2 linked regions of the Cricetulus griseus genome follow. The protein of the gene in region 1 purifies or fractionates together with the protein of each later gene. This does not show direct contact. Links are inferred from orthologs where the notes say so. Each region holds a gene or a part of one and is shown in the gene's direction. Other genes may lie near its edges. The genes, in order: Ngfr and Ndn.

Evidence for each region.
Region 2: the proteins of Ngfr (region 1) and Ndn purify together in Homo sapiens (affinity purification with western blotting; 3 studies listed by BioGRID). This does not show direct contact. The link is inferred for Cricetulus griseus from reciprocal best matches to the Homo sapiens genes NGFR and NDN.

Annotation. Positions count from the first base shown.
Region 1 is NC_048600.1:108,748,192-108,752,015, reverse strand, and holds part of Ngfr (tumor necrosis factor receptor superfamily member 16), read left to right. Parts: intron 1-3,711; coding exon 3,712-3,824. UniProt on the Homo sapiens protein: Low affinity receptor which can bind to NGF, BDNF, NTF3, and NTF4. Forms a heterodimeric receptor with SORCS2 that binds the precursor forms of NGF, BDNF and NTF3 with high affinity, and has much lower affinity for mature NGF and BDNF.
Region 2 is NC_048596.1:135,134,137-135,137,243, reverse strand, and holds Ndn (necdin), read left to right. Parts: upstream 1-1,377; coding exon 1,378-2,355; downstream 2,356-3,107. UniProt on the Homo sapiens protein: Growth suppressor that facilitates the entry of the cell into cell cycle arrest.

The DNA of each region.
Region 1 (3,824 bases):
AGGGGGTGTGGTCCTGAACTGCCACTGACTGGGTGGGTTAGACTCTGCCCTGTGCCTCTGAGCTGAGCCACTCCCCTGCTCCAAGTGAGCAGAGCCCTAGCTTCTCTTCAAGTCTCCACAAGGCAGCTTAGCTTCTTAAGGGATCAACACCAATCTCCTTCTCATGACTCAGTGGCTGACCAAAGGGGCGGGGAGTAGAGCCGGAAGCCAGTGCCTACTCCTAGGTTCGAATCTATCTAACGCTCTCCAGCTATTTGAAAACCTCTCCTACCCCATATGGCTGTGACCAGGCTTCTATTCTCTGAGGAGCCTTCTCTGAAGCTGTTGTGTATGCTCAGGAAGGAGCCCATGGAAACACCCACATAGTTGCAAACGTTGGTGTGTTTTCTGTTTTGTCCAATTAAAAAAAAAAGTCAATTCATCGGAACACCACAAGCCCTGCAATGACAAAAATAGATGGTAAACATTCTGAAAAATGGAGACGCCATGCTATCAACTTTGAAATGAATGAATGTAATAGATATAACTATCAGGCAAATGGGTCTGTCATTTTGATAAATTGGTCAATTTGGATCGGATTTTGGAGCAATTAGCCTGAACTCCAGTCACACTTTCCTGCTTGGCGGATGGCTCCCTTTCTGCTTTGTCTTCCCTCGGGTCAGCATCTCATACTCCCTAAGACACACGACTTCCTCAATAACTACCATTGATTGAACTCCTACTGTACACCGCACAGATCTGCATACATTATTGCACTCACTTCTCATAACAATCCAGTGCAGGAGTCATACTCGTCCCAGTGTTTTAGATAGGAAAACTGAGATTTAGGAAGAATAAGATACTCAAAATCACAGGCTATTTTGCAGCAAATCTTGGACTTTGTGACAGAGGCAACATAAACTAAGTGCAGATGCTGACTGTGTGGCTTCAACTTTAAATACAAGTCCTGAAAGGAGTGGGAAGGGCAGGGATGCTTGCCCAAAGCTACTATGGCTCCCACAAGCATCATCAGCCCCACCCCCAACATACACCCTCCAACTCTCTGCTGACTTTGGTTTGGTGGAGCAGTGGTACACAACCCAGGTCCACAAAGGGTACACATACTAGAAGGAAAAAAAGGTTTTTGCTTGTTTGGTTTGGTTTTTGAGACAGGGTTTCTCTGTGTAACAGCCCTGGCTGCCTCTACCTTTTGAGTACTGGGATTAAAAGCCTGTGCCACCACTTATGGCTAAAAGGGGAATTCTGAAGAACTTTGACCCATACTCGCCACATTTACTACAGCAGTTTGAGGCAGCTGATGTCATGATTATCTACTGGTAGGAAACAGAGGCACAGAGAAATTACAAACCTGTCCATCATTCTGGCCCTAAATGATGAGGGACTCAGATCAATGGAAGAAGCGGAATGGGCAGTGATTATGCCCAAATGTTTGACCCAGGGTACTGTTCTTTCATGTTAACTCCTCCTCCTCCTCATCCTCCTCCTCCTCCTCCTAGTACCACACACACACACACACACACACACACACACACACACACACACACACCATCTCCATTTCTCTCTGTGTAGTCCTGGCTGGCCTTAAACTGGAGGTCTTCCTTTCTTAGCTCCTTATGCAGGGATCACAGGCATGTGTGCACCTGGCTCCCAGACAGCTTTTTACCAAGTCCAGTGACATCATTTTAAAAACTCCATTAGAACTGATACATTATGATTCTGGGAGAAGGACTCTTCCAGTCACGCTGATAGGAGCAAGAAGTGACAACTGATACCTTGACAGGAAGAGAAGGGACAGGAAAATTATCAAAAAGCTGACAAAATGACAAAAAATATGGTCATCTGGGATCAGGAACATGAGCGCACTGCTGCATTGCAGCCCTGAGTAATCGCTGCTGCTAACAGCCAGTGCCCCAGTGATGGAGAAACTGCAGAGGCAGAGGAGGGTGCAGCCCCCAGGTCACACAGAGAGAGACACTGAATGACAGCAGCACTTTTTTTTTTTTCTCCTGAGGACACATAGTCATCCAAAGTCAGTCTTCCAGACTTCTAGGTAACTGAAGGTGTATGGTAACTTTCTGTTCTTAAATCACACAGTTATGTCCATTGGTTCCCCACTCTGTGCCAGGTAGGGGCAGGAGATAGACAGTCAACCCCATGTCCATAGCTCTGCCTATCTAGTCTGGGAGGGGTGGGGATGACAGGAACACTTCCTTGAGGAAGTGATATTTAAGTAGAGTCCTAAGTGATGAAAGGAAATGAGAACAGACCCTTCTGGAATCTCAGCTCCTGAGAAAAGCCTGCCTCAGGGCTCCTGGTCTGCAGATGTTGCCAGCCAGCACTCCTACTGCTGGCACCTGGGAGGAGATGGTGGCAGCTTCTGTGCTGCCTTCATTGTCCCTGAAGGGCTCATAGAGACCATGTTGCTCCTAGGGCATCACCCAGTGTTCCTCCCCCAACTTCTATAGTTCATTTCCCATCAAACTCTGGTAAGACCACAATATATATATATATATATATATATATATATATATATATATATATATAATATCTTGGCAAAGATCTGTCCAGCATGGAAGTTGTAGAAGAATGCCCAAGAAATCTTGTAAAGCTCCCTCATCTCACGACAAGAGCCCAAATTGCTCAGCATCAAATGGGGTGTGTGTGCAAGGTCTGGAGCCTGCAGAGAAGGCTTTGGAGTTTTATTAGACATTAAGATTGTTCTTTAAGAAACAGAAACAAAGCGAGCCTCTTGCAGCCCCTCCCTCTGGGGAATCTGGTGCTAAGTCGTTCCATCCATGAGCAAAGATGCTGTAGTGGTAGGAATTTGATTCCCCTTTCCCCCTATTCCAGCTCTGTTCCCAGGGGTAACATGGGAGGAGAGGGGAGGGGAGGGGAGGAAGTCAGGCTAGTGACTGGAAGACAACTCTGGTGGAACAGAGTTGCTGGATGGTGAGAGCAGCTACTGATAACAGGGATCCCTTTCTGCCTGTCTTGGCGCCAGACTTGCCCATCAGCCTGTCCTTTGCCCTGGCACCAAGCTGTCATTCACTGTCTTTATCTGCAGAGAGTTGAAAAGTCCAAAAGGAAAAGCAGGACAGGCCAGAAACCTGTCTGAAGTCAAGATTTGAACCCAAGACCCAGGTCTCTTGCCTTCTGCTTGCTCTTGGACATAGACAACTCCTTTTTGATATTTAATATGTAGAGTGAGACCTGGAGAAAGGCCCTGTTACCCTTTGTTAGGAAAGGCCCTGCGTCTGGGGAATTAAAGCCCTGCAGGTGTAAGGCTTAGCAAATGGAGTTTGGACCAGATTTCAGCTCCACTGGCCCCCTTGGCCAGGAGCCTTATGCAAGCTGCAACCTGTCCGCCTATTCTGGATGTTGGTCTCAGGCTGCCCTCCTCATGTGGTGTATCCTCAGGGCTCCATGAGGGGCTGTAACCCCAAGATGAACTTTGCTGAAGGTTAGCCACTGAGACTGTGACCTCACACCCCAGGAGCAGTCAAGGGCACACTGTCCCCGTCCCCCATCTCCCCCAGCCTTCCTTCCTGCTAGCTTTGATCCTCCTAATGCCTCCCGGGTGAGCTCATCCCAGCCCAGGTGGTTCCAATAGAAGGTATTAAGAGGGAGGCGTTTGATCCCCTGGAAGATACCCCCCCTCTCCTGCCAGGCTGACCCTCTGATCTTCTTCCACCTAGGTGTCAAGGTGCCAAGATACCAAGGAGACATGTTCCACAGGCTTGTACACCCATAGCGGAGAATGCTGCAAGGCCTGCAACTTGGGTGAAGGTGTGGCCCAGCCTTGTGGAGCCAACCAAACCGTGTGT
Region 2 (3,107 bases), on another chromosome or scaffold:
ATTTGATGTCTCATGTACAATATAATATTGTTTATTACTTGTGACAGCATGTATGAACTTGATGGAATTGTGTGAAGTGAAAAGGGCTATATATAGACAAAGCTTCCTGATCTCCAACATTTGTGGAAATGAGGGAGACATGACATCAAATAAGTAGAGAGTAGAAAATTGATTACCAAAGGCTGTGAAAGGAACATGGAGGATAAAGATTGCCTTCTGAAACAAGAACATAGTTAGGAACAATATTCTGTAGTGTACTATAACAAAGTGCAGTGGGTGTACTCAGCTATACATGTTTAAGGAGATAGAAAAAGGAATTTTAAATATCCCTAAAGGTTAAAGTGATATATGTGTTAATTATGCAAGTTTGCTTACTGCATATTGTGCTTGTGTATAAAGACAAACTCTTATTTGTGTCAATTATATGTGTATATTGTGTAAGTGTATGCAAATTTATGAGAAGGGTGTTGTGTATCCTGCTCTATTGTTCTCTACCCTATTCCTTTGAGACAGGATCTCTCACTGAACCTAAACTTGGGCTGGTTTCTGGCAAATGCCTGTAATTCTCCTAATTGTACCTCTCAGAGCAGGGTTTACAAACACAGACTATGCCATTACATTTTTTGTGAGTCTTAGGGATTTGAACTAGGGTTCTCACACTTGCACTACAAATGCTCTTACCCATGGACTGAGCCAATTCCCATCCCAATAAAAAAATGTTTAAACACACACCAATTATGCTATATAATTTTATTACTTCCAAAACATTCAAATTCCACTTGGGCTGATTTCCAGTGTCTGTAATGACACTTTATATTCTTCCGTATTGGATCTGGACTCAGGTTTGGTAAAGATTTGCTCTATTAATTTTTCAACATTCCAATCTTAAACATCACATTATCTTCACAATGCTCGCACTTCCAAAAAAAAAAAAAAAAATCAAAAACTCATTACTGTCTCACTCTTTTGTAGAAAGTCCAAGCTCTCTAGCCAGTCTACCCCCTTTCACACAAAAACTCAAAGGTGCTCTAACTTGACTTCACCATCTCAGCTGCATCTTTCTACTTAAACTTGCTCCTTCCCCATCACCATCTCTTTCTAGCTCACCCAGGAGACCTGGAGATCTTTCCCATTAGTTTAGTGGTACCCTCCCTCAGACCCCAGTGGTTGGGCTTTGCATCTCAGCTCCTATCCAGCCCTACCACCCTTCTGGCTTGCCAACACGCATGCGCAGTGTCAAGTCCGCCCCGCCCGGCCGCTGCTGCGGAAGGCACAGCTCTCAGTAAAGCGCACTTCCTCTGCTGGTGTCCACTGAGGGAGTGCTGGTTCCAAGAGCTCCAAGTCGCAGCGGTCCTGCTCTGATCAGAAGGCGCAGACATGTCGGAACAAAGTAAGGACTTGAGCGACCCTAACTTTGCACCTGATGCCGCCAACTCCGAGGTGCAGGAGAGCTCTGAGATTCCGGTGGGGGTCCCTCCTCCCACATCTCCAGCCGCGATCGTCGCAGAGGCACCAGAAGCTCCTGAAGGCCCTATGGCAGCCCGGCAGGCCTCGCCGCCGCCTCCAGAAAGGTTAGAAGATATTGACCCTAAGATTCTGGAGCAGGCCATAGAGGAGGGCCGCGCCCACAATCCCGATAGCCCGGTCCGTCAGCTGCCAACACCACCCGCCCCGGCCCAGGTGGTGCAGAAGGCGCACGAGCTCATGTGGTACGTGTTGGTCAAGGACCAGAAGAGGATGGTCCTCTGGTTCCCAGACATGGTGAAAGATGTCATGGGCAGCTACAAGAAATGGTGCAGAAGCATCCTCCGGCGCACCAGCCTCATCCTTGCCAGAGTTTTTGGGCTGCACCTGAGGCTGACCAATATCCACACGATGGAGTTCGCCCTGGTCAAAGCCCTCAGCCCAGCAGAACTGGACAGAGTGGCGCTGAACAACCGTATGCCCATGACAGGCCTCCTGCTCATGATCCTGAGCCTCATCTACGTGAAGGGCCGCGGGGCCAGAGAGGGAGCCGTCTGGAATGTGCTGCACATCCTGGGACTGAGGCCCTGGAAGAAGCACTCCACCTTCGGAGACGTGAGGAAGATTATCACCGAGGAGTTCGTCCAGCAGAATTACCTGAAGTACCAGCTTGTTCCCCACAGCGATCCTCCTGAGTACGAGTTCTTCTGGGGGTCCAGAGCCAACCGTGAAATCACCAAGATGCAGATTATGGAGTTCCTGGCCAGGGTCTTTAAGAAAGATCCCCAGGCTTGGCCCTCCCGCTACCGAGAGGCTCTGGAGCAGGCCAGAGCTCTGCGGGAGGCTAATCTTGCTGCCCACTGCCCCCGCAGCAGTGTCTCTGGTGATTAGGAAGGTCCCCAGCATGTTGATAATTTCTGACCCATACTTGGGCTGTATAAGGGTGGGGTTGGGTCATTAGAGTATTCCACATTCACAGTGCAGTATTTCATGTGTAACCTTTAAGTTTTCCTTACAGTGCTTTTGTACCTTTCAATGCAATATATTCATTTGTGTTCGCTTGGAGCGTGTTAAGGATTTATGCATGTGCGTTTACAAGTAAGCAAGTGGATGCTTTCACTTCTGTGCTTTTTTGTACAAGAGATGTGCTGTGCTGAACCTGTGAAATCCATTGAGATGTTGTGTATCTATTCTTTGTATGAAAGTGATGATCTGTATCAACATAAAAGCCCAGGAGAGTTAGGAGGTGAGCAAAGCAGGCCTGACCAGAGAAAGGTCAAGGGCCCTCTTATATGAACTCAACTGGCACAGGAAGCATCCCTGTGGAATGGACTGATTTGAACTGGAATGTTCTCAGTGTAGGCACTTAGCACACCCTACCAAACATGTATACAACCCCACCATAAATAAACTTTGAAGTGAGCATTAAAGATCCTTGTGGAATAATTTCTTTGGGGGGGTATTTATTTTGTGGGAAGGGGGGTTGGGATGGGAGGGAATGAGGAAGATCTGCCCATGCACAGCATGCACAAACATGGTGTTCAACTAAAAGAGTGGAAAACCATTACCCAAGACCACTCAGGGTTACAGCTTTATTTTTCTATTTAATCAAACTGGTGACACTTCAAAGACTTTGACATTTA